Cricetulus griseus: one gene and its partners. The protein of the gene in region 1 purifies or fractionates together with the protein of each later gene. This does not show direct contact. Links are inferred from orthologs where the notes say so. Each region holds a gene or a part of one and is shown in the gene's direction. Other genes may lie near its edges.

What was found.
Region 2: the proteins of importin subunit alpha-5 (region 1) and Adnp purify together in Homo sapiens (co-immunoprecipitation; 3 studies listed by BioGRID and IntAct, with this or other methods). This does not show direct contact. The link is inferred for Cricetulus griseus from reciprocal best matches to the Homo sapiens genes KPNA1 and ADNP.
Region 3: the proteins of importin subunit alpha-5 (region 1) and Cdkn2aip purify together in Homo sapiens (co-immunoprecipitation; 4 studies listed by BioGRID and IntAct, with this or other methods). This does not show direct contact. The link is inferred for Cricetulus griseus from reciprocal best matches to the Homo sapiens genes KPNA1 and CDKN2AIP.
Region 4: the proteins of importin subunit alpha-5 (region 1) and Tcerg1 purify together in Homo sapiens (co-immunoprecipitation; 3 studies listed by BioGRID and IntAct, with this or other methods). This does not show direct contact. The link is inferred for Cricetulus griseus from reciprocal best matches to the Homo sapiens genes KPNA1 and TCERG1.
Region 5: the proteins of importin subunit alpha-5 (region 1) and Ctdspl2 purify together in Homo sapiens (affinity purification with mass spectrometry; 3 studies listed by BioGRID and IntAct, with this or other methods). This does not show direct contact. The link is inferred for Cricetulus griseus from reciprocal best matches to the Homo sapiens genes KPNA1 and CTDSPL2.
Region 6: the proteins of importin subunit alpha-5 (region 1) and Rbm45 purify together in Homo sapiens (co-immunoprecipitation; 3 studies listed by BioGRID and IntAct, with this or other methods). This does not show direct contact. The link is inferred for Cricetulus griseus from reciprocal best matches to the Homo sapiens genes KPNA1 and RBM45.
Region 7: the proteins of importin subunit alpha-5 (region 1) and Anp32e purify together in Homo sapiens (affinity purification with mass spectrometry; 4 studies listed by BioGRID and IntAct, with this or other methods). This does not show direct contact. The link is inferred for Cricetulus griseus from reciprocal best matches to the Homo sapiens genes KPNA1 and ANP32E.

Annotation. Positions count from the first base shown.
Region 1 is NC_048597.1:53,639,384-53,641,892, reverse strand, and holds part of importin subunit alpha-5, read left to right. Parts: intron 1-674; coding exon 675-853; intron 854-1,115; coding exon 1,116-1,303; 3' UTR 1,304-2,509. UniProt on the Homo sapiens protein: Functions in nuclear protein import as an adapter protein for nuclear receptor KPNB1. Binds specifically and directly to substrates containing either a simple or bipartite NLS motif.
Region 2 is NC_048599.1:11,176,957-11,181,027, forward strand, and holds the start of Adnp (activity-dependent neuroprotector homeobox protein), read left to right. Parts: upstream 1-1,271; 5' UTR 1,272-1,403; intron 1,404-3,265; exon of another isoform or gene 3,266-3,406; intron 3,407-4,071.
Region 3 is NW_023276807.1:39,004,121-39,008,288, forward strand, and holds the start of Cdkn2aip (CDKN2A-interacting protein), read left to right. Parts: upstream 1-1,368; 5' UTR 1,369-1,747; coding exon 1,748-2,001; intron 2,002-2,428; coding exon 2,429-2,559; intron 2,560-3,643; coding exon 3,644-4,168. UniProt on the Homo sapiens protein: Regulates DNA damage response in a dose-dependent manner through a number of signaling pathways involved in cell proliferation, apoptosis and senescence.
Region 4 is NC_048595.1:195,373,784-195,377,283, reverse strand, and holds part of Tcerg1 (transcription elongation regulator 1), read left to right. Parts: intron 1-3,115; coding exon 3,116-3,295; intron 3,296-3,500. UniProt on the Homo sapiens protein: Transcription factor that binds RNA polymerase II and inhibits the elongation of transcripts from target promoters. Regulates transcription elongation in a TATA box-dependent manner.
Region 5 is NC_048599.1:56,446,588-56,450,087, reverse strand, and holds part of Ctdspl2 (CTD small phosphatase-like protein 2), read left to right. Parts: intron 1-522; coding exon 523-601; intron 602-3,252; coding exon 3,253-3,364; intron 3,365-3,500. UniProt on the Homo sapiens protein: Probable phosphatase.
Region 6 is NC_048599.1:98,661,896-98,665,962, reverse strand, and holds the start of Rbm45 (RNA-binding protein 45), read left to right. Parts: upstream 1-1,267; 5' UTR 1,268-1,383; coding exon 1,384-1,719; intron 1,720-2,914; coding exon 2,915-3,037; intron 3,038-3,453; coding exon 3,454-3,580; intron 3,581-4,067. UniProt on the Homo sapiens protein: RNA-binding protein with binding specificity for poly(C). May play an important role in neural development.
Region 7 is NW_023276806.1:60,586,061-60,590,353, reverse strand, and holds the start of Anp32e (acidic leucine-rich nuclear phosphoprotein 32 family member E), read left to right. Parts: upstream 1-1,493; 5' UTR 1,494-1,817; coding exon 1,818-1,871; intron 1,872-4,020; exon of another isoform or gene 4,021-4,040; intron 4,041-4,293. UniProt on the Homo sapiens protein: Histone chaperone that specifically mediates the genome-wide removal of histone H2A.Z/H2AZ1 from the nucleosome: removes H2A.Z/H2AZ1 from its normal sites of deposition, especially from enhancer and insulator regions.

The DNA of each region.
Region 1 (2,509 bases):
ATTTTTGAGTTCTAGGCACTTACTTTGTGCAAGTACAGTGTCAGCTTTCACACATTTTGTCTGTCTTCCACTTGCATACTATGGCATACATGCCCCTAATCAATCGACCAGTCAGTCGATAAATGTAGTAAAATTGTTATTATTTTGAGGCAGGATCTCACTTTGTTAGCCTTGGCTGGCCTGCAACTCCATAGGTAGACTAGTGTGGCCTCCAGCTGCCAGATTCACCTGCCTCAGCCTCCTAAATTGTAAGATAAAGACATGTGCCCCCACTCCTATTGTGCTAGTTATTTTTCCTGTCAGCTTGACCTAAGCTAGTTGAGAAAATGCCTTCATTACTCTGTTTTGTAGGCAAGCCTGTGTGGCATTTTCTTGATTAATGATTGGTAGGTGAGGGCCCAGCCTATTGTGGCTGGTGTCATCCTGGCAGCTGGTCCTGGGAGGTAGTGTAAGAAAGGTAGCTGAACAAGTGTCGGCTGGTAAGTAGTCTGTTGCCCTGCTTGAGTTCCTGCCTTGGTTTCGGAATTTCTAAGACAAATAAACTCTTTCCTCCCTAAAGTGCCATAGTTACAGTTTATTTTTATTTCTACAACAAGCTTGAAGATGCCTCACAGATAAAAACCTAACAAAGTTAAGTATGACTAAACTGTGTTTTATTGTTGTTTGTTATCCAGGTACCTAGTAGAACTGGGTTGTATCAAGCCACTTTGTGATCTCCTCACTGTCATGGACTCAAAGATTGTACAGGTTGCCCTCAATGGCTTGGAGAACATCCTGAGGCTTGGAGAGCAAGAAGCCAAAAGAAATGGCTCAGGCATTAACCCTTACTGTGCTTTGATTGAAGAAGCATATGGTGAGATACTTAGACTGGGTCAGCCTTTGGAGTTAGGAAATAGACATAGGCATATAAAAACACGAATATAGTAGGTACTGGGTGATACTGGCTGTTACAGAGCTTGTTACTAAGATGTTGGTTTATAATATTAGCATTCAGATATAGTAGTAATCATTTTTATATGAGCATACAAGATATGTGAGAATGTTTATATCAAAGAAATAGACTTGAAAATGTAGTTAACTAGGATTTTCAAAAAGATTCTTATTCTTCTTTTTAGGTCTGGATAAAATAGAGTTTTTGCAGAGTCATGAAAACCAGGAGATCTATCAAAAGGCTTTTGATCTTATTGAGCATTACTTTGGGACCGAAGATGAGGACAGCAGCATTACACCCCAGGTTGACCTTAGCCAGCAGCAGTACATCTTCCAGCAGTGTGAGGCTCCTATGGAAGGTTTCCAGCTTTGAAGCAATCCTCTGCTTTCTTGTTCCTGTGTCAGACCAGGCTACCCAGTCAAGTCCTCTTGTGGAGCCCACAGTCCTCATGGAGCTAATTTCTCAAATGTTTTCCATAATACTGTTTGCGCTCATTTGCTTGCCTTGCGCACCTGCTCTTTTACACACATCTGGAAAACCTCTGGCTCTCTGTGGTGGAATACCCTTTTATTACAAGGGTAACCAGAATGGCCCACTCTCTTATGGAAAAATCCCTAAGCTTTGGAGATCCGCACTAATATTAGAGTCATGGGGATATACACATATTAATGTGGCTCCCTTTTTTGTGGGGGAAAAGAGGACTCTTCCTCATTCCGTAAAGTGGGGAAAATGACATTAAAGATAAAACTAAAACCTTTATCTTGAATTTTACACAACTACTTGGACAAGGGAGATACTTAGACTTGTGCATACATCAGAGTACCTTCTCGAGTTCTTCCACAGTGAACCAACCCTTGGAGTACCCGGTGGCTTTTTCTAGCCAAATTTGCATTAATCCTTATTGAGATAGGATGGTTTTCTTTCCTCTAATGGAGTCATTCTTCAGATATTAAAGTTAAACCATCCACTCCCTCACCTTCAGCCTTCAGTGAATGTGCTTCTAGTTGTCAGGAATGCTGAAGAATTAACAATTTGACTTTTAAATGTGATACTGGCTTGGCAGATTCCCTTACAGCAGAAAGAGAGGAGCACAGATTAATGTGTATGGCTTCTGCTTCTCTTTGGTTTTATGTCTCTTGGAAGTAGTTCAGTTTTAACACTGGTATGAAGATAAAAGTCCTTAGTAAAACCATGTTCTAAAATTCAGTTAGAGTCAGAAGAACATAGAACCCATTACTTTCTCTAAACCAGTGTGACTAGAGGCTGTGTTACTGCATTACAAGACTCAGGCTTTGTGGTCCTGATCAAGGTCCTGGTAAATTGGAGTTCACCCTAGGTGCTTTTCTTCTTTGTGACTGGCAGATAACACGTATTTAAATGTTACTTAGGGATTTTTTCCCTTAGTCAAGTGCAGCGCGATTCTAATGTATCATGCTGCATACATGATCCTGCAGTGCAGCATCCTTATCTTTAAAAGCTAACAGTCTCCTCAAAATGACCTCTAAACTAAAAGGGCAGTGATCTTTTTCTAATAACCTCAGTGTTCCCTGGTTTTATTTCATCTCCTACTAGTACCCT
Region 2 (4,071 bases), on another chromosome or scaffold:
AAAGCCAACAGTCCATGTATTGTCATGCTGAAATTGGGGGACCACCAGAACTTTTCATCTTTCAGCATCGTGAGTTCGATGGCCTCAACTCTACAAATCCCACTTTTTCTTATTTAAGTCAAGGAGAAATGGCCATCTGATGACTTGGAAGAATGTCTTGAGTCCAAGAAACAGCAGAACTGTAAAGCTGAGCCCTTGTCCACCTGTTATCCCACAGCAACCCACTAGAAGAGCTGACATGGCCCCAGAGCCATGTCATCTCAAGAGAATGTGTGAAGCACGAGGGCATCACACCTCACTTCAGGCTGGAGGCATCAGGCTCAGCCCTCCGCCTTGCCTCTCAGCCTGTGAGAGCACGCTCTGTGAGCACGTGGAGCCTCGGGGCCGCCCGCGCACCCTCCCTCCAGATGTAGTCCAGGCCCAGATGGGCCCGCGCAGGGATCCCCAGCACAGCCACCTGACTGATTGTCGGAGCGTGCTGCGGCCCGCTGCTTGTGCCTCCGCCGGCGGCGCTGCGGCCAGGGGAAGGGAAGGGAAGGGAAGGGAAGGCACCCAGGAGCGCACTGCGGCCATTATCCACGGCGCCTCCTAGCGGCTCAATGGGGAAGCCTCCAAGTTCTCGCGAGAGCTCCCCAGAGTGGGGGTTATATAATCTCCCCAGGCTAGGTTGGGGGTGCTGAAGGCACCCTCCGGCGGGAGCAGTGGGGGTCGGCGCGGCGCGCGGCCGGAGAGCGGTCCCCCGAGGGTCCCGGTGCAGGGGGCCTGGCCCCCCGCCCCCCCAGGAGCTGGACAATGAGTCCTCTTATGCTAATGAGGGGCTTACGTCACTTCCGCTCTTTCTCGGCCGCCATTTTGGCTAGGGCAGGTTCGGGGACTCGCTCTGAGGCGCTTGTATTGTCTGCTGAGGGGAGACGCGGGACCAGCCCCCTCCCCCGCCCGCCGCCGCCGCGCCGCCGGCCCGTCCACCCGCCGCCGCCGCCGGGACCATGAGCTGAGCGCCCGCCCCCGGCCGCCGCCATCTTGGCCCCCTCCCCCTCCGCGCCGCCGCCGCGCCGCGCTCGGGGGGATTTGGCGTCTCCTCAGACACAGCTCCCTCTCTCGGTCCCCGCCGCCGAGGAGCCGCGCGGCTGTGCCGCCCGCCGGCCCGCGACGGTGAAGCCGCGGCCCCACGCCCTCCGCCGCCCTCCGCCCCTCCTTTGTCTGCACTGCCCGCGCCGCCGCCCGCCGCTCTGCTGCGCCCGCCGCGCCCCCGGCAGCAGCCGCGGCCGCGGCTCGAGCCGGAGCCGGAGCCCGAGCGCGACGAGGCCCCGGGCGCGTCCTCGCCGCCATCGCCGTGCCGCCGCCCGCTCGCCGCCGGGCCTCGGAGCACGCCGGCCCCGCGCACGCCTCGAGGCCGAGCCAAGGTAAGCCCGCGGCCCTGCCCTGCCCGGCCCGGCCCGGCCCTGCCGGCCTCCGGTCCCGGGCGCGGTCCTCGTGCTCCGCGCGCACACTGCCCTCCACCGGCCTCTGCCCTCCACCTCCTGCAGCCCGACCCCTCTCCGCCCCGAGAGCCCGCCGGCCGGCCGGCAGGCTGGTGGCATCTTCCCGCACCCACCCCGCCCCCAACAGGACCCCGCTCTCTCGGCCCCCAAACTCATCCCTCGCCCCCTCCCCCCACGCCCGCCCTCGGTCCCCGGAACCAGCCTTCTGCCAGGTCTGCCCACCCTAGGCTGCGGGGGAGGGGAGCGGCCTGGGGGGCGGGGAGTGCATGGCACGGAGGGAAAGTCTTTGCCACCCCGACAACATGCCTGCTTCCCTCCCATCCCAACAAGCACAGCCAGCCCTTCGCCAGCCCGGCTCTCGCTCCCGGCTGCCTGCTCAGCACTACCCTTTAGAGCTTTCTGATACTCAACTTTGCAGTCAGAAAATGGAAATCCAGAAAGCCGCGAAAAGCTTTTTGTCGAATGCAATGAATGGGGAGTAGTTGTGAGCACCCTCTCATTCACCTCTTCTTTCCTCTGGGCTGCCTGTCCTCGTCCTCAGCCACCCACCCACCCCACCCCACCACCTGGATGCCTGTCTGGTAGAAAAGGCGCGATTGCTTCTCTTCCTCTTGTGTCCAAGATCGGGCTTTGAAGTCTAACACCCGTTTTAGCTTCACTCCCTGCCACACACCGCAAGTGTCTTCTCAGTGTTCTTCAGTCACCAACCAGTTCCTCTGGACAGTTCTTGTCATAACCCCATTTCACAGACAAAGGCTTAGGAGGGAAAAAGAACCAAACTGTTTCCTGTGTTAGCCATTTTAATACTGTCCAACCCCAAACGCCCAGTTCCCATCCCTGATGCTTCTTGTGCCTGTGTCTTGAACCTTCAGGATGGGGGGGGGGCCTGTCTCTTGGATAGCTTTGTGCAGTTTCTTTATAAATCTGCATTGTTGCTTCTGGTTTATGGCCATGAAGAAAATACCAGCCCCCACCCAAAATGCACCGCAGCCAACTCGGTTAAAGGCAATGAGTGTTGGAGTCAGTAGGGGGCGCATTCTCTGCACTGGGTAAGGCTGCAGAGGGGGGAAGGGCCCCAGAACTGGAACAGGATGTGCTTAACAGCGCCTTCTACAGACCAATCGAAAATGGGTCCAGCAAGACTTGCACTTAGTTGAGCTGACAGCAACATGGCGAAGGATGAAGTGAGCCTACAGAGAGATTTTTATTTAAGAAAGCCACATCATCGTTTGGAAAGTTTTTACTTGTTCCAAACTGTTCACCCTCAGACTTTGGTTGCTGATCAGTCACCTTCATGCACATCCTTAGGTCATAGGTTCCCTTTCTCAACCTTCAGGTTTGGATGCGTCAACATCTCTTTCCTAGGCCAGATGGTAAAGGGGGTGTTTTAAATCTGAAAGTAATGGGCTTGGGGTATCACTGGTCAGTCCAAATCTCTCCAGCTCTTTTGAGAGTGAAAAGTCATTTTTTTAAGAGGTTTTTATGGGGTGGTGATTTTCATAGCCATGAGAAATGGGTGTCATGATTTGCAAGGCTTTGTTGGTAAACATCAGATCCTTATTGAGTTCTTCATTGTCAAACTTAATAGAGTTGATTGCAAATTTTTGTTGCCTTCCAACTTCAGTCTTCCAGCAGTGTGTTCTGTCGGTAGCCAACTGCCTTTGCAAGTGTTGACACCAGGCTTGGTGTGCACCACTTTCTTAGGGTGTGTGGATTTCCGTAGATTTTACTCCTGTTGTTATTTCCATAGGTGTGAGATGCACAGTACGAAACCTAGGCCCCAGCTTTTACACCGTGATGCACAGGGTTGCACTTTTTGTACTGAGCTGATAGGTGGCCTAGTGGTTATTCCCTGTACTGCCATTTTGAGGATCTGGACTCCGTTCCCTGCCTTGCTCTTTGGACTACATTGTCAATTCACACCGGTGGGTATATCATTTTGGAGGGTGGGTGCTGAAGCATCAGGGAAGCCAGATACTTCCTCCTTGGTCACCACCAAAATGTACCCTTCCAAAATTTCAGCTTAGCCATATTCCTCAAGGAACCAGTTAGAGTTGGTTGCAGTAGTAGAATTCTGAACATGTTAGAAATGTGACTCTTTTAATAGAGAGAATTTTAAAGTTGATGGTGTTATAGTCATTTGCAGTCTGTACTGTTGGGCATAAAGTTTTAAGTAAACTCAAGACTTGCTAAGCTTCTAAGAGCCTTAATTTCTTAACTTGGTTAAAGGGAGTTGGGGGCAATGGGTCATTGATAGAGATCAAGATTAGCCTGGTAGGAGTTCCTGCACTTGTTCTTGCTTGGGAAGATTGACAATGGGTGTTGATACCTGTGGATACTTTATCCTACTATTACAAACATCTTACATAGACATGCCAAGATAAATTTATGGGATGCCAAATGGATGTGTATGATATATAGTTTACCATTTAGTGCTTGAAGATTTTTTTTTTCTTTGTTAGATGGTTGCCACAAGGTAACTTTTTCTGTGTGAAAAGGAGGCACCTTGGTGCCAGTATTGCCCTGAGAGACTGCACTGGATTCACATTTTATGTATTTATATATCTTTAGTATTTACAGAATCCATTAT
Region 3 (4,168 bases), on another chromosome or scaffold:
AAGATCCGCTTGGAGGTGGGGTGGATGTCACTGGGAATCTTTGTCCCTCTTTCCAATGTGGCCATCCTGAAAGTCATTTCCTGCTTCCCACCACTCATTTGGCTTTTTTACTTAATAGGCTGAACAGTGTTGGGGCACAGGCTCATGGCTACCCGAGTTTCAAAACAAAATTACTTCATTTTGCTTGATTTTTCTGACAAGCATTTTCACAAAAAAAACTCAAATATCTAGTGAAGGAAAATTCAATTTCATAATTTATCACTATTACATATTGTTAACACTCATGCTTTGATTTCATTAATATTAGACAGACACCTGGACTTGGAAATATTAACAAGCCAGAATTGTCGGGACTTTCCACTGTGACCATCTAAAGTTACACACACACACACACACACACACACACACACACACACACACACACACACACCCATGGCACACACACCCCATGGGCTGGAGAGATGGCTCAGCAGTACACACACACACACACACACACACACACACACACACACACACACACACACACACACACACAAAATGGGCTGGAGAGATCACACACACCCAGCAGTACACACAGAAGACCTGGGTTCAATTCCCAACACCCACATAGCGCTCCAAATGCCCTGTCACTTCAGCTCCAGGACCTCCATTGCCCTCCTGCCTCCAAGGGCATCCAACACGCATATGATGAACAGTCGTACATGCAAGCAAAACATCCACACACATACATTAGAAAGGAAAAAAATACAAAAGCACGGTTGTCCTGAGGCCGGGCGGACGAGATAAACAGGTCCATTTCCACTTTGGCCCAACTGACATTAACAGTTCATTTCCACAAAGAATGCAGCTACAGGACCTGTTGGTACGGAGTTGTTTATAGCTTTTGCGTCAAAAACGTTAGAGGAAGCGGGTATTGTCTGGGTGGACCCCGGAACCTAGGAAACCGCGGAAACCAAGCCCAGAGCCTGCGGCGCAAGCGCGAGGCCTGGCTTCAAAGACCGCTTGAGGAGTGGCTTGTGCTGGTCGCTTTTCAAAGTCACACACATGCTTGTTATTTTTTTTTTAACGTCCGGGTCCCACAGGCATCCCCGCGTCCCCAAACGCCCCGAGGCTCGCCTCGCCCGGATCTCGGAAGCCTCGGTTCAGTTCCCACTGCACTGAGCAGCCCGTCCAGCTTTTGTTTATTTTGGCCGCGTGCGCCGGGACGAGCGTCTGAGGGCGGAGCCGCGTCTCCGACGACGCCCGGCCGCGACGCCCCGCCCCGCCCACTATCCCCAGCCCCGGGCGGACACTGAGCGCGGCGTCACAAAGCGCCGCCGGAACGCCGAGGCTGCGGCACAAGGCGCCGCGCGGCCTCTCAGGGTGGCGGGAGGCAGAGTCGCCTCAGCCCCGCCTCGGCCGGCCGGGCGCGCCCTCTCTCCGAGGTGGGCGCAACCGCTGAGTCGCGCGCGTCTCGGCGCCGCAAGGCATCCTGGGAGGAGGGGCCCGCGCCGGAAGGACGCGTGAGCGCGCGGCGGCGGCGAGGTTATAAAAGGGAGCGGGCCCGCGGTCGCCGGAAGTGGGCGGTTCGTCGGCGCCGTGCTCTGTTGTTTGGGGTTTGGGCCGCCGGAGGGGCGTTCTCCGGAGAGCCGCCGGTGCAGGCCGTGCTGACAGGACCGCTCGCCGCCCCGCCGCGCCGCGCCGCGCCCCGCCACTTGGCCGCCCTTCGCTCCGTGCGCTCGCGCTCTCCCCGTCCCGCAGGCCCAACATGGCGCAGGAGGTGTCGGAGTACCTGAGCCAGAACCCGCGAGTGGCAGCCTGGGTGGAGACGCTGCGCTGCGAGGGCGAGACGGACAAACACTGGCGCCACCGCCGCGAGTTTCTGCTCCGTAATGCTGGGGACCTGGTCCCCGCGACGCCCGGGGAGGCGGCGGACGCGGAAAGTGGGAGCCGCAATCGGCAACTACAGCAACTCGTCTCCTTCTCCATGGCCTGGGCCAACCATGTCTTCCTAGGGTGTCGGTGAGTGAGCAACCGTCGCCAGCCAGCCTTACCGGGCTCCCCTGCTGCTGCCCGAGGAGCCCTGGCGGGGACCAGAGTGGCTGGCGAGGGCGGGTCGGAAGCGCGGGAATCGGTGGCACTGTTGGTCCTCGGAAGGCGCCCATGGCAGCGCCGACCTAACTGTTGGCGGGTACCCGGGTTGGGTGAGCCCGGCAGCTGGAGTTGTTAGCGTTCAGCTTGGCGGTACCGGGGAGACCCTCAGTTTGAGGGTTCGCGAGCACAGACCCGCCTCCCGAGCCCCACGGTATTTGTGGCATCTCAGCAAACAAAGTTGTCGCGCGGTTGGTGCCACCAGGAAATGCAGTTTCCGTGGGCCCGCATCTCTGAACGCACTGCCGGGCGTTCCGACAAACACTTCTTGAAAGCGACTTTTGCTTCTCTTTTTCAGGTACCCTCAAAAAGTTATGGATAAAATTCTTAGTATGGCTGAAGGCATCAAAGTGACAGATGCTCCAATCCATACCACACGAGACGAACTGGTTGCCAAGGTGAAGAAAAGAGGGATATCGAGTAGCAATGGTTAGCAGATCATAGATGTGAACATACATAGGAGTTTAGAAAATAAGCTTGCTGTAATTAGGAATTGCTGTCATTACTAATTTTTAACAAGCCGGAATTTGTATAATGTATTAATCTAATTGACATGATAAAGCTAAATGTCTGTCTGTCTTGTTTTCAGTGCTGAATTCTTTAGTTTCCTTTGCTTTAGATTTTAAAGTCCAATGTCTGATGCTGTTAATATTAGAAATTAATCATGTTAATACTGTGTTTAAGATACTCATGAAGAACTGGGCAGTGGTGGCGGACACCTTTAATCCCAGCACTTGGGAGGCAGAGGCTGGCAGATTTCTGTGAGCTGGAGACCAACCTGGTCTACAAGGGCTAGTTCCAGGACAGCCTCCAAAGCCACAGAGAAACCCTGTTTCGAAGAGGAAAAAAAAAAAAAAAAGATATTCATGAAGTTATTCCATATTTTAAAAGAAGCTAGTCCTGAAATATTTTTCTGTGTTTTCGTTGTTGAAATCCAGTATGAATAGTCATGTGACCCAATCCACTGATTCCAAACAGCAGAGTGGATCACTTAAAAAGAGTGCTTTGGAAGCTTCTTCAGTCTCAGCTTCTCATGAAGTTATTCCATATTTTAAAAGAAGCTAATCCTGAAATATTTTTCTGTGTCCTTTTATTACTTTTATTTTATTTTGGTTTTTTATGACAAGGTTTCTTGATGGACAGTGATGGCACATGCCTTTAATCCTAGCACTCAGGAGGCAGAGGTAATTGGATCTTTGTGAGTTCCAGACGAGTCTGGTCTCTAAGAGCTGGTAGTTCCAGGACAGGCTTCAAAGCTACACAGAAAAACCCTGTCTTTGGGGGGGGAGGGGGGAAGGGTTTCTCTATGTCACAGCCCTGGCTGTCCTGGAACTCACTCTAGACCAGGCTGGCCTCAAACTCAGAGACTCAATTGGCTCTGCCTCCCGAGTGCTGGGATACAATCTTGTCCCACCACTGGCCAGCTCCTCCTTGTGCTTTCTTAATGAATGTTTTGTTGATTGACATGTATGTGGGTCTTCTAGTGAAATACCTGTGTTTTTCTTCTTTCTAGAAGGGATAGAAGAGCCATCCAAAAAACGAGCCATAGAAGGAAAAAACAATTCTGCAGTTGAGCGAGATCATGGAAAGAAATCTGCCAAAACAGATCGTTCCTCAGCTCAGCAGGAAAACAGTTCCGCATCCTCTGGGTCATCCACCAAATCAGAGAGTAGTGGGGCCTCAGCTCGGAGCAGCTCCACAAGTGAAGGAGATAGATCTGTGTGCAGCCAAAGCAGCAGCAATTCCTCTCAGGTAACAACAGCTGGGGCTGGAAAAGCTTCTGACCCAGAAGCTCCAGATAAACATGGCTCAGCATCGTTTGTTTCTTCGTTGTTGAAATCCAGTATGAATAGTCATGTGACCCAATCCACTGATTCCAGACAGCAGAGTGGATCACCTAAAAAGAGTGCTTTGGAAGGTTCTTCAGTCTCAGCTTCTCAGAGCAGCTCAGAGATTGAGGTGCCCTTGTTGGGTTCTTCTGGAAGTTCAGAAGTAGAGTTGCCATTACTGTCTTCTAAGTCTAGTCCAGAGACAGCTT
Region 4 (3,500 bases), on another chromosome or scaffold:
TTTTTTAAAATGAAAGTTCATACTTCAAAACTTAATTTTTAAGATAGTTTTTGGTGAAAGCCATCTGAAACTATTATATACCTGCCATTGAAATAAAGTGTGCTGGGTGTAATTGGACTTTTTTCTTGATGGTTTAGGGCCAGTGGTTCTCCATCTTCCTAGTTCTGCGACCCTTTAATACAGTTCTTCATGCTGTGGTGACCCCCAAACATAACATTATTTTCATTACTACTTGATAACTGTGATTTTGCTATTGTTACTAATTACAATACAAATATTTGATATTCAGGATATCTGATGTAGGAACCCCCAAAAGGTCTAGACCCACAGGTTGAGAACCACTAGTTTAGGATCATTGTGATAAGGATGCTGTGAAATACAGTGTTAGAGAGTACTGACCCAAGAGATGACTCTGCGACTTTCTTGGAAGTCCTGCCTTAGCCCTAGAGTTGTTGAGATATGTAGGGAAACTGACTATTGGGGCTGCTCTGTTGTGTCATTCTTCCGTCATTGTCTTTCCTATACTGTCTCCTGTACTAGCTGGACTCTCCCTGCTACTGTCACTTCACTTCTTCCTTGCTTCTGCTGCTTTTTTTTTTTTTTTTTTGCTCTGCATCCTTGACATTTTCTGTAGTTTGAAATCTCTTTCCTTCCTGCCATTCTCTGAGTCTTTTGCTTTAATTGCAGTTGTAGTGGTTTTGTGAAGAGCAAACCTCATTGTGTCTCCTGGTTACTTGACTAGGTGAAGACTTTCCATACTCCCAGCCGTTGCCTGCCAGTCAAGTTCAACTCTATTGTTTTTTATTTTGCTTTAAAATTCAGTTCCTTTGTTGGTTGGTTTTCTCTGAGACAGGGTTTTCCTTTGTTGCCCCAGGCTGGTCTTGGACACTGGTCCTCTTGCCTTGACAGGCTTGCACCACCATACTATACCTAGCTAGTTCAGCTACTTATATAAAGTAGACTTGTCTGCTCCTTATCTATCACACTTGCTCTCCTCAGGCCTTGGTGTGCAGCTTTCTTTAACATAGGGAAGCACTCTTCTGTCTGTGACAGTCCTTCACCTTCCCACCGCAGTGACACACTCTTATTCTTGAAGAGTGCATACTGGCTGGGCGTTGATGGCACATGCCTTTAGCCCCAGCACTTGGGAGGCAAAGGCAGGAGGAAACACTATAATTAACCAGACAAAACACACCTCTCCTAAAGGCTGTGCCCCTACCTATAGCACCTTGTGTTGAGCATACACCACTGTCACACTGAATACATTTGCCCTATAGAAAATACAAATTCTGAAAGAAATGACAGTTGTTATTTTACTTAGTTGTAGTTCTGGTGCCAAACACATAATTTAGATGCTAAAGACATTTGTATTCTTTTCTTCTTTCCTCTTTTTCTGTCTTTTCATTCTATTTCCTGTCATTGTGTATAGTACTGTGCCATTGATGGTGTTGGTGAACCAACTGAAACTGTGATGCTGTTACTTTATCTTTTTTTTTTTTCAAAGTTAGTATTATAATTACATTTTGAAATGAGAGTTTGTGGTGCTTCTGTCTTTGTTCTTTGCGCTCAAGATTGTCTTGGCTTTTAAGATCTTGTGACTCCATAGGAATTTAAGAACTGTTTCTCTAATCAGTGAGTACAGAATATCGTTCAGCTTGTTTGTACTTTATTAAGTTTTTCTTTTTTGTCAGTGTTAGTTATTTACTCCTTGCTTAAATTTATACTACTATTTTTTGGGAGGGCCTTGATGCTGTTGCATATGCTATTTTCTTATACTTTACATTTTGGTTACTTGTGAAATCTTACATTTGTATGGTTGTTTTTGTATTCTCTTAACTTTACTAAATTTATCATTTCTAATAGTGTTGTAGTGGAATCTTCAGGTTTTTCTGTATGTAGTATCATGTCATCAGCAACTGGAGTCATTTTAAACTCTTACTTCCTGTTTAGATGTCTTTTTCCTCTTGCCTTCTAAAAGAACTATTTTGAGAGAAGATTTCCTAATACCTCATGCCTTAGAGGAAAAATGTTCAACTTTTCACTCTTGGAGATGATCATCTGTAACTCCTCATGGATGGTCTTTATTGTACTGGATTACATTCTCCCTATATCCAGTCTATTTACATTTATTTTTGTAAAAGTACATGTGTGACCTTGGGCCATGCAGCACGTGTGGACCTCGGAGAACAACTTTCAGGAGTGTATTCTCTCCTACCATGTGTGTTCCTGAGATTAGACCCTAGTCATTGAACTTGGCAAGTAAGCACCTACCTATTGAACCATCTTGCTGGCTCCTACTCAAGTGTTTTTGTTATGAAAGAATATTGAATTTTGTTGTTTTTCTGTATGTATTGAGATAATCATACTCTTTTTACCCTTACTGTTTATGAATGTGCACTGTCATGCTCACTAATTTCTATATATTATGACCTTTTGCTGTGGGTTAGAAATGTTTCTTCTAGTAGATGGGTTAATAAGTCCAGATTTGAGCTCAGGGTTTGTTGTACTGCTTTTTGGAGGGTGGATATTTAGTGATAAAAGACACTTAACATTTCTTTTACTTGACACAATTAGAGACAAAGTACTACTTAGACTTCTTAGTGGTCCTGACTGGAAGATGATGTGATTATCATCTTTACCCCCCACCCCAGCCTGAGTATTTTATCATGTAATTGATCAGCAGGAGTTAAAGTTTCTGTTCTACAGTAGGTTTTAGGAGACTTATTAACTAAAATGGTACTTCCATAACCTTCTTGCTTAAATTATTGGAAATGTACCATTGCTTAGTTTTTGGTTAACTTGATGGTAAGCTAATCACCTGAACAAATTCACTTACTGAACGTTGTACTTAATGTGGTCTTTTAAGACAGGATTCATTTCTGAGGTAGTCTAGTTGAAAGGATGGATCAATTGCTTTTCAGGTAATGTTTTTTAGTTTTTAAATGTGACTACCTTTGTAAAGCCCAGATGAAGTTAATCATTCCTGACTACAGTGTTGAGCTTCTTAATGTGTAAATATGCAGAGTCCACTTGGTGGGGTTTGTGTATATGTACCAAATACACACACACACACACACACATACACATACACACACACATTGTTCTTTGTTTTTAGGTACGTTCTTCCGATGTGTCATGGTCTGATACTAGGAGGACCCTCCGGAAAGATCACCGCTGGGAATCTGGGTCCTTATTGGAGAGAGAGGAGAAAGAGAAGCTTTTTAATGAACACATTGAAGCACTTACCAAAAAGAAAAGGGAGCACTTTAGGCAACTTCTGGATGAAACTTCTGCGGTGAGAATCCCCGTCTTTCATTTCTGGAATCTTCATTTATAGTTTGACGTAAAATACTGACACAATTTTTAGTGTCTTGATCAGACCCATATTTGACATTCTTTTGTGATTTTTTTCCCCCATTTTAAACGCATCACAATGTTCTCATTTGTTAGGAATTAGTTCTTTTTACAGCTTCCAGAGGTATAGCTGCTTCTCTGGTGAC
Region 5 (3,500 bases), on another chromosome or scaffold:
AGCTTTGTTTTTTATATGAAACTTCTCAGGGATGGCACCACCTACAGTACACTAGACATTCCCATACCAGTCATTAATCAAGAAAATGCCCATAGATTTGCCTGTAGGCCATTCTGATGGAGGCATTTTCTCAATTGGGGTTTCCCCTTCTAAAAGGACTCTAGCTTGTTGAATTAACAAAAAACTAGCTAGCACATTCATTTTATGCTCATTTTTCTTGCTGAAAATGACAGTAATTATTAGACAGTAATAATAAATAGATTTCCGATTAGCTGATAGAAATCTTAATTCTACTAGCCATTTTGTAGTTTGCTATGTCATTGATAGTAGTAATTTCTTTTGGATATAGAGTTAAATCTGTTTTACTGAATGTCTTTAAATCTTAAATCTTGATAAATTATTTATCTTTAATCTAAAATATACAGGACCTCAAGAAGCTCTTGTATAAAGACAGTAAAAATGTGTACTTTGTCGGAAACTTCTGATGAGTGAATGTAATCTTCTTTTCCTCTTACTAAATAGCACCAGTAACTCCAGAGAGTGGTTACTCTTCAGCCCATGCAGAGGCCACCTATGAGGAAGACTGGGAAGTATTTGACCCGTGAGTTGTTTTGTAGTTATTAAATTTTCTTTCTTGAATTTTCTTTCTTGAATGATTTTCAGCTTCATGATGGAACTGAAAAATGATGTTTGTCCAGTAGAAACTGTACTTTGAATTTTGAAGTTCAACTTTTTCCTAAGTGGCAGTACATAGCAGGGTACTCTTTCATGTTGGGCAGAGAACTCTATCTCTGACTTATCCTGTGTTCTCACGAGGGCAGACAGCTGATGTTCTGCATTGTTTAACTTAGGCTTTATATTCTGTTAGTACTATATTTGTTAGTCTAGGTATATCATATGCATTTTTAAACTTACATTATTTTTGTTGTAAACATGGGAGATAAATCCCATGATAAGAGCTTGACCTGTAGGTAGGGTATAATACTTATAAGTGAGTTTTGGAGACACTAATCTGTATACTTTTACTTATGTGTTTTCAAAATTTAGTTTACTGGGTGAAGTGTTGAATTAGTTACTGCTTCATTGCTGTAACTGACAAGAAGCAACTTAGGAAGGGTATGTTTTGGTTAGTATCTTAAGTTAAGGATGCAGTCCCTCATAGCAGGAACTGTGGCAGTGAGACCCTGCTAACTGTGGCAGATAGGGGTATTCAGCTGCTGATGACTTTTTTTTAAAGATTTATTTATTTATTTTGTATACAGTGTTCTGCCTACATGTATCCCTGCAGGCCAGAAGAGGGCACCAGATCTCATTACTGATGGTTGTGAGCCACCATGTGGTTGCTGGGAATTGAACTCAGGACCTCTGGAAGAACAGCCAGAGCCATCTCTCCAGCCCTGCTGATGACTTTGTGTCTGCTATCAGAAAGCAGAGTAGTGAATGTTCTGTGCTGCTAGCTTTCTCCTTTGCCCATGGGACAGTGCTGCCCATGCTTAAATGTCTTAGGAAACACCCTTAGACACACAGAGATGTCTGTCTTCTAGGTGATTCTGTTAGATTGGTACAAAAGTAATTTGCAATCTTTGCAATGTTGAAATATATCTGATATTGGAATACTTAAATAAATGAGGTTATCCTACAAATCATTTTAATGTACATTTCTTTATTAATACACGCTTTTTATTTTTAGGTGGGTCTCACTACGTAGCTTTGGCTGGCCTGGAATTTGAAATGTAGACCAGGGTGGCCTCAAATTCACAAGTGCTGGGATCAAAGGTGTGATCCACTATGTCCGGCCCATACTGTTTATTTTATACTATGGAAATGATACGAAACAAAAAGCAAATTAAAGCCATTTTATTTTTTTGTTTGTTTAGTTTCTTTGTGACAGGGTTTCTTTCTGTAGCCCCACTGTCCTGTAACTTGCTTTATAGACCAGGGTGGCCTTGAAGTCACAGAGATCCTCCTGTTTCCTCAGTGGTGGGATTAAAGGCATGTGCCACCCAGCTCAAGCCATTTTCTTATTTGAGTTCAAAATGTGCTCTATCAGTAGCATATTTGGCCTAGAAATTGTTAGTAAACATACAGTGCAGTGGTGGTTCATGATGTTTTCCAATGGAGACTCGAGAAGGAGCTAGTGGCTGGACAGCAGAAGTTGACAAAGACCAATTGAGATCAATCATTGCTCATGAATCTCTTACAGTTATATAGGAAGTTGCTAAGTAACTATATATTCAATGGTCATTTGGTATTAGAAATAAATTGGAAACGTAAAAAGGTTTGATAAGCGGGTGCCTTATGAAGTGACTGAAAAGAAAAAAATGTTATATTAGGCCGATATCCTCCCTTATTTTAAGCTTCAAGGAATTTTCCCTGTCAGTTGTGACAGGTAAAGAGAGGTCTATTGTATACCACAACTGGCAGATGAACCCAGGGTCTGGACGAGAAGAAGCTTCAGAGCCCCTCCCCAAAGTCAAACACACCAAAAAAAGGTCATGGTCAGGGTTTGGTTGTCTGTTGCCACCAAACCTGATCACACAGATTCCTGAGCCTCGACAAAAGCATTACATCCCTGCTCTGCAGTCTAGCAGATAGGCTGAAATCTCCATAGGACTTCAAAATAGCTTTTTTTCAGGGTAAACATTTCTGCAAACACCAGCATGCAGAGAATTCAGAATCCTGAAGCCTGGATGTTTTACACTAGAGCAGTGTTCTCAACCTTCCTAATACTACTCACATCATGGTGATCTCCTACCATAAAATTAATGCATTGCTGTAATCTTGTTATAAATCATAATGTAAATAAATATCTGATATGTGACCCCTGTGAAATGGCCATTGGATCCCTAAAGGGGTTACATCCCACAGGCTGAGAACTGCAGCACTATAGGAATAAACAGATTTATTTCTTTGGTCTTCAGGAGATGAAAGATAGAAAAAAGCAAACAGTCCTTGTAGTCGAAAACATATTGATTGTTCTTACTGGGATCAATTAAGATGTGTTTGAGTCTAGTTACAGCAATTTAAAATTGAGTGACATAGCAGTTCCTTTTGTGCCAATCTAACAATCCAGTGGGATAGATAATGAAGACAAGCTGTACTGTAGGGATTAAACCCAAGGTCTTGCACATTGTATTGTATAGCAAGAATTGTGTAGCTGACCACATCCCAAGCTAATTAAAATTTAAGTTTAGTAGTGTTTGAAATACATGAAACAGAAATGTTGAAATTTTCCTAAAATTTGATTTATAGCTATTATTTCATCAAGCATGTTCCACCACTGACAGAAGAACAGCTAAATAGGAAACCTGCTCTTCCTTTGAAAACAAGAAGCACACCAGAGTTCTCCCTGGTCTTAGATCTGGTGAGTGTGCTATATCTTTCGGGTACAAAGAATAAGGGTGGAAAGAATACAAGTGAGGAAGCAGTCATATTTACTATGAATGTGTCGTGAGTGTTTTGCAAAGTTTTTATTTGAGTATATACTAATGTTAGGATCC
Region 6 (4,067 bases), on another chromosome or scaffold:
GCCTGGTTCTGTTACTTGAGCCTCTTAACTTTGGGCCTAAGATTCCTCATCTCTAAAGAATGAGGCTAGGATCTCATGCCTTACAGGCTCCTTTCAGCTGTCAGGCTCTATAGTTTTAACTGTCTTAGTCAGGTTTGCATTGCTGTAAAGAGACACCATGACCATGGCAACTCTTATAAAAGAAAGCATTTAATTGGGTCTTGCTTATTGTTTCAGAGGGTTTGTCCATTGTCATCATGGTGGGAAGCATGGCTGCAGACAAGTAGATATGGCTTGGGCTTCTGAAACTCCCAAAGCCCACCCCAAGTGACATACTTCCTCCAACAAGGCCACATCCACTCAGATAAGGCTACACCTCCTCTCCAATAGCAGCACTCCTTAATGACCAAACATTCAAACATAAGAGCCTATGGGGGTCATTTCTATTCAAACCGCCACAAATTCTGTCTATAGTGACTCTAAATTGAGCTTATGGTCAAAATGGTGACAAGGACTCCCTGTTGTCATCAAAACTTCAAACTCCCCCAAGTCTTCTGTTTGACTTTTCCAAACTTCCATGTCTCTGATAAATCAGGGCAGTGACGCCTCACTGCTATTAATATCTGTCACTCTGGCCTGCCTGCAACATGAATTCTGTGAAGCAGATCTATCAAGAGTCCCTCTTATCCCCTCCCATTTCAGTAATTTTTCATTTAATGACTTTCATACTACCCTGTCATAAATATTCACTTCTCTTACGGGAACCAAGTCCAGTATCTCTCCTTTGCTCCAAGAGCCATTGCACTGGCCCTTTGTTCCTGTCACCATGAACCCTTAAGAGTGAAGTCTGCCAATTTTTTATTTATTTTTGGTTTGGTGTTTTTGTTGTTGTTTGTTTTCTTTTTGAAAATAGAGTGTTGCCCAGATGCTGGCCTCGAACTCACTATGTAGCCCGTGAGGCCTCCAATGTAGCAATCTGACAGACTGGGATAACAGGCATGTGTCACCGCATCATCCAGTTTATCTTTTAAAAGGGTGAAGAGTAATCGTTTTGTAACAACACATTCTGGGCTTAGAAGAAGCCAGAAACCAGCTTTGGGAAGGCTTGAGCATCTGGCAGGTGGGTCTTTTTGGCAACAGGGCAACCTAGCTTGCACAAACTGATTCTTGGTTTCCATGGGACTGAGATTTGGGACTGCTCAGAGTCCCCCGCGGCGCCAGGGGGCGCTGCGGAATGCTCCCGGAAGCCAGCCTCGCTCTCTGTGGGACAGCACCTGCCTCCGGGCTCTGGGCTTTCCGGAAGCGGAGCTGTGGACCCGCGGCCGCGGCGGCCGGCTGGTTGGCGGCCGGGCTGACTGAGCCGGCGGAGCCCCGCGCCTGGCTCCCTCCCCAAGGTGGAGCACCATGGAGGACTCCAGCAGCTCCGCGGGCAGCGGAGGCTTCCGCCCCGGCGTGGACAGCCTGGACGAGCCGCCCAACAGCCGCATCTTCCTGGTGATCAGCAAGTACACGTCCGAATCGGTGCTGAGGGAGCGCTTCTCGCCCTTTGGAGACATCCAGGACATCTGGGTGGTGCGCGACAAACACACCAAGGAGTCCAAGGGCGTCGCCTTCGTCAAGTTCGCCCGAAGCTCACAGGCCTGCCGGGCTATGGAGGAGATGCACGGACAGTGCCTTGGCCCCAATGACACCAAGCCCATCAAGGTGCTGCACTGGGGTGCCTACGTTAGGGTGTGTGAGGTAGAGATGCTCGGTTTGGGGGGTCTTGGGTGACGGTACCCGGGTTGGGGTAGCTGGGGTAGGGATGCCCGGGTCAGAGTGTCTGGGATAAGGGTGCCCGGGTTGGGGTTGTCTCGGGTAGAGGTGCCAGGGGTTGGGGTGTCAGCGGAGGCTAAGACGGTGTGGGTTAGGGTCTCTTCCCGCACCTTTGCTGCACCCGGGATGATGTGTATCAGGTAGTAAAGGAGTTGGAATCTGCTCCCAGGAGCTCTCCCAGGAGGAGAGGAGGAGAGGAACCCCGCCCATGCATGGGTCTGGAATGGCTAGGAGGAGAGGAACCCCGCCCTGTGGCCAAAGGAGCATCTTCCCCTGGGAACAGATTGGGTAGCCACAGCCAAGGACAGCGCAGCCATCCATGGCTGTCACTTACCATAATTCAGTTGACCCCTACCTCTTCCTGTCTATTGGGAGAACGTTTCTGACCCACCTCTCTCGGACACTTTGATTAACCTTTGCTACTAGATAATTTAGTTTTAGTGTTTTTTTTTTTCTCAAGTATTTTATTTTTACAAAGTTCAAGGGATATTACAGTACCAGCCTGTACTCACAAGATTATCAAAGTAAAATTATTTTGTGACAAGCTATGCTACAAACTAGAGAGGGGCAAACGTTTCAGGGGTTGGGGGAGTTCTGGCGTTGGTTTTACAAGAATTGGCTGGGTTGGAGTCTCTCCCACTTCTGCACCAGGATGCTGTGTATCAGATAGGGAAGGAGTTAAACCGTGTGAAAACAAGGCGAACAAGTAGTGATTCATGTCTTGTGTAGATCCAAGCCTTTATCAAAGATTGTAAACAGTTTAAACTCTAAAATTTAGACATCTATGATCTGATGGCTCCTCTGATCTCATTTTCCCCGTGGCCCCTTTTTTTCCTCTAATGTTTGCATTTTCTTGGAGCCTCTCTTGTGTCTTCCTTTGGATACTTAATTCCTGATGCATCGACTAGATTGACTTAGTCATTTATACTAATACCCCAGTTGTTAGTTGCATTTTGGTTTGTTTTTGTTTTATAGTATCTTCTTTTGGGGGGAACAGGGTCTTCCCATGTAGACTATGCTGGCTTTGAACTTAAGATCTGCTTGCCTGACTTCCTGAGTGCAGGGAGTACAGTATAGGAGTACAGTTAACATTATTCTGAGGGCTTTGTATGTTTCTTAGGTTTTCATTGCTCAGTCCCGATCATCAGGAAGTCACAGAGATGTTGAAGATGAAGAACTCACAAGAATCTTCGTTATGATACCAAAGTCCTATACAGAGGAAGACCTACGGGAGAAATTTAAGGTGTGTGTGTTCTTATCACAACTCCATTTTCAACACTGTACAGTTACTAACAACTCGCAGTAGTAGCGAGTGTCCCCTCTGCCCAGACTTCATCCTAAAGTATAGGCTGAGAAAGTAAAGTACAAAGCCAGGGTGTTTTCATTAAAACCACACAGCTAATAGGTGGTGGTGCCAAGATTTAAACCTGCTGTGCCCCCAGAACCTGCCCTGGGTCTTTAAAAATCTCAAAGCACTTCTTGGTTCTCATTTCTCTTGCCTCTCTGTAGAGTGAGTCGCAGGCCTGAGTCAGGCTGGAGCAGGTAAGCTATGTTGACTAATACTTACCATGGCCTGTGCTATGTTGACATTGTACTCATTCACGGAAAGGTTTTTCCTCCAAGTGGTTTTGTCCTAAAATTTGGCTTTAACTCTTGTAGGTGTATGGTGACATCGAGTATTGCAGCATTATTAAAAATAAAGTCACTGGAGAAAGTAAAGGTCTGGGCTACGTGCGATATTTAAAACCATCACAAGCCGCCCAAGCAATAGAAAACTGTGATAGAAGTAAGAGGTTTTTTTTTAAGTTTTGTTTTATGTGTGTGATTGTTGTGCCTGAATGTACATCTGTGTCTCACATGGATGCAGTGCCTACAGAGGCCAGAGGCCAGAGGACGAGATCAGATCTCCTGGAACTGGAGTTACCGGTGGTTGTGAGCCACTGTGTGGGTACTGGGAAGGGAAACGAGGTCCTCTGGAAGAGCAACACATGTTCCTAACCACAGAGCCATCTTTCTGTTTCCAGAAGTGTTTGTTTTTTATCCTTGCTAACGGGCCTTTTGGAAAAGAATTCTCATTATTTTAAATAAAAGGGTCTATTACTAGATTTTTGCTAAAGTTAAGTAAGTAGTGAGTAAATATATGATATTTGAATTATAAATATATGACTGAAGGATGGAAATGTTTTGGACTTATGAACTAGCCATGTGCTGAAGCCATCTTGGTGACTGAGTTGTCAAGATGAACTGAGTTATCACATAAGCAGGGGGCATAC
Region 7 (4,293 bases), on another chromosome or scaffold:
AAAGGTGCTTGCTGCCAAACCCGACAGCTTGAGTTTGAACCCAGGAACTAGCTCAGTGGAAGGAAAGCACTTGACTCCTGCAGGCTGTCCTCTGACTTCCTATACATCGCAAAATAAGTAAACAAGTGTAAAGAAGCTTGGCGATGTTGGCACACGCCTTTAATCCCAGCACTCTATCTTTCATTTTATTTTACATTTTTTTTTGGTTTTTCGAGACAAGGTTTCTCTGTGTAGCTTTCCTATCCTGGCACTCTCTCTGTAGACCAGGCTGGCCTCGAACTCACAGAGATCTGCCTGCCTCTGCCTCCCGAGTGCTGGGATTAAAGGCGTGCACTACCAACGCCCGGCTCAGTACTCATTTCTTACTTAGGTTTTCAGTTTTTGTTTTGAGATAGAGGCTGGCCTAGAACTCACTTTGTATACCAGGCAGTTCTGCCTGCCTCTCCCTTCGGAGGTCTGTGACCATTATGCTTCGTGTGTACCATTATGCTTCGAATTACAGAAACATTAAGTAGACTTTCTTTTTAAAATGTATTTGAGTGTTTTGCTTTAATGTATGCACACGCACATCTGGCCCTGGAGCCTGTGAAGGTCAAAAGAGGCTATTGAATTCCCTGGAACTGTAGTTATGGATGATTGGGAGCCCTCATGTGGGTACAGAACCAGGGTCCTCTGCAAGAGGACATCGTCTCTTCAGTGCCTCACATACACTTTAAAAGAACACTTTAAGTAGATTTCTGCAGGAAACTTACCAAAGGGAAATGGGAAATTGGAAATTGTGTTTTCTTTAGGCCCGTGCTGCTTTTCCTCCAAGGTCCCAACTATTTGCCAGCGACAAATGACCTCAGTATCAACTCCCACAGGACAGTTTTATTTAAAGGTTTCTGACTCAACGTGCTAAACTCAACTGCTTCCAGAGTCGTTTCGCCTTTGACAGTGGAAGTTAAAATACCTTCTTTATCACGCTCTGGTGAACGCCAGGGCCGTTCGAGACGGGGAGGTGTCCCGAACTCGCTGCTCTTGCGTTGAGTCCCTGGCTCACTGGGTAAGCCGCATAGCAGGGAGCTTGTGCTTTAAGACTACCGAAAGCTCTGGAGTGCGGTGCGCTGGATGACCGACCCGCTTACACCCTGGGGACGCCAGCGACGCCCTTTCCCTTCCTCTAACCCCGAAGCCAGAAAGCCCTCAAACAAACAAAAACAAATTCAATAGACAGCCAAACCGTCCCACTAGCGAGGGAAAGCGCGCCAATCACACAAAGAAAAGGAGGGGGGCGACTGGGATTCAAAATCGTTTCTCCGGGACGTACATCCTCCCGGACCTATCGGAATTAACTGCGCGCTTGCTCAGAGCCAATAGACCCCGAGTTTCTGGTCCGGGGCCCCCCTAACGACGGATGGGCAGTCCTCTAAGCCAATGGAGTGGCGCGACGCTAAAGGCTCGGCCAATGCAGTCGGGAGGTGGGTGGAGCGTAGGCCAGGGGGTTGGCGGTGCCGTGTCATGGAGGCTCAGTCTCGCAGCAGCCATTGAAGGGGAAGGAACTGCGGGCGGGCGCGCGCGTGTCTCTCTCTCTCTCTCTCTGTGTGAATGTGTGTGCGTGCCCGTGTGTGCGCGCGCGGGTGTGTGGACTAGAAGGTGGGGGCAGCCGAGTTAGTCCCAAGTCGTCGGACTCCATTTGCTATTCTTTTCTTTCTCCCCCACACCCGGGTGGTAGTGGGCGTTCGTCTTTGCGTCTCTTTTCATTCATCTCCAGACCTTTAGGGGTGTTTTAGGGTTGGGGGCAGTGGGGAGGGCAGGCGAGGGGAAAGGAGGAGGACATGGAGATGAAGAAGAAGATTAACCTGGAGTTGAAGAACAGAGCCCCGGAGGAGGTGAGATGACTCAGCCCCCACCTTCCCCTCCCGCCCTGTGTCGCGAGGGGTGGGCTTCGGTGGTCCCGGTGGGTGCGCGGGGCGGACTGGGAAACGCGCCCCCACTCGCGGTGGGGGCGGGGTGTTTATTTTAAGTTTTAAATCGCCAGGCTTCTTGTGCTTAAAATGGCGAAGGGCTTAAGTTTCTAGGGGCATTTTCCCGGGCGCGCGGGGGCTCAGCCCCTCGGCGTCCCCGCAGTCTGGCGGCCCGGCCTCGCGGGGGCGGGCGGCGTGGGCGCGACCCCCGGGCCTTCGCCACCTGCGAAGTTGGTGTAACTTTCCCGCGGTGCCGCCATTCGGCCGGCCGCGGCCCGGGGCGTGGGTCTCGGGCCGATCTGCACCCTGCGCTCCCTCCGGCGGTGCCCACTCGCGGGCGGCGCGCGCCGGGCCGGCGCCGGCGCCGGGCCCGGGCGGCGGCGGAATCCCGGGACCCGACGGCGCCGGCCGCGATCCTCGTGGCGCGCGGACCTCTCTACGCAAGCCCGTGGCTCGTGCGAGCCGCGCAGTGCCGTGTGCGGTCGTCGGGAAGACTCGCGGGCTGGGAGGGGCCCCCGGAGGCGTCGCCTTCGAGCCCCCCGCCGTCGGGTTCCCTTGCGGTTCCCGCCAGGTTCCTGGGTCGGAAGCTTGGGCCGCGGCGGGCGGTGACGGCGCCTGGGGCTCGCCGGTTCGCGGCTGCTTGAAGACGAGGGACAAGGGACCGGCGCTACGGTGGTCCCTTGACGCCCTAGCAAAGGCGCCGGTCTGCCCGGCCTTCGCAGTCACCGTGCAGAGCTACCCGTGCCTGAGCCCTGTTCTTTTCTGTGGCGGGTTTGCGGGTTTCTGCCGACTTCAGCCGAGAGCGAGGTGGAGGAAACATTGTTTCTGTAAGGGTTATTATCGCTGGGAGAACTAGAAGTTTTCTAGAGCTTTTTAGAAGATTCTGGAATAACTCAAAGTTAAAAAGCTGTCCATCAGCAGGGCATGGTGACTGATACCTGTAATTCCCAGCCTTTGGAGGCCGAGGTAGGAGGATGGCTGCAGGTGGGACTCTGTCGAGCAGGGCAAAACAAATCAAAACAAGCAGTTTCTCATAAGCCTTAGGTGCAAATGTGGGCCTCTTCCCGCATCCTTTCGCCTCCAATTTGGAGAATTGCGGGACATTGCCATGGTGTAGTAACAGGTTTATATAGACAGTTTATTTTTATTTATGTTTTTGGCTTTTTAAGACGGGGTTTCTCTGTAGCTCTGGCTGTCCTGGAACTCCCTTTGTAGACCAGGCTGACCTTGAACTCGGAGATCCACCTGCCTCTGCATCCCAAGTGGGCCACCACTGCCCGCTATATGGGCGGATTATAAAGTGCCCAGTTTACTTTCTCCTTGGAAAACTTGTAAACTGGGTTGTATTGTTTTAGAATCCAAATTTGCAAACAGGAGTCCCAAGACAGTGTAGTGGCGTATTCTGGCGGAAGAACTGGGTTTCTGACACTGGATGTACAAGGCCTCTTGCTGAGCTCTCTTAGCCCTGGATAAGACTGGAATCCAAAGGCTTAAGAGGTGCCTGGCGTGATAGTGCACGCCTTTAGTTCAGTTCTATAATCCTGACACTCCGGAGGCAGAGGCAGATGGGTCTCTGAGTTTGAGGCCTATCTGATCTACAAAGCAAGTTTCTGGTCAGCCAGGACTAAATAATGAAATGCTATCTCAAAAACAAATGAACCGGAGGGTGGTTTCACACACCTTTGGTTGCAGCATTCACTTTTAATCCCAGGGTTTGCAGGCACAGATATCTGAGTTCGAGGCCAGGCTGATCTACAGAGTGAGTTCCTGGACAGCTAGGGCTACACAGAAAAACCAAAACAAAAAACAAACAACGCAAAATAAAAAAAAAAAAAAAAGGCTTAAGAATCAAGACACCCCACCATACTGAGGGTGTGACCTATTAATGCAAGTCATTTTTTTTCTAGACCTTGGCTTCCTGGTCTCTAAAAGGGATGTTATGGTTCCATTTCTGCTCATTGGAATAATGATTGCCAAAGTTACACCCAAGTAGAGAAGATGGCATTTGTTGTTCCTGATTTTTAGCCTTTAAATAAACATTTTTGTACTGGGGACAGAGAACCAGGATCTGATTAGGTCTATTCAGGTGCACTGGTAAGTTTGTTACTACATCTGGGATCTGGGGTTGGAGTGATGCTCAGTAGTCAAGAGCACTTGTTCACATGGTAGCTTCCAACTGCTACCATTCCTTCTTCCACCTCGGAAGGCACCAGGTATGCATAGAGGTATCCATATGTAGGAAAAACACCTGTACACATAAAATAAAAATAAGCCTACAACTCAGATCTAATAAGAAACCCAGTTCTGAGCTGGAAAGATGGCTCAGGAATTAAGAGTACTGGCTGGT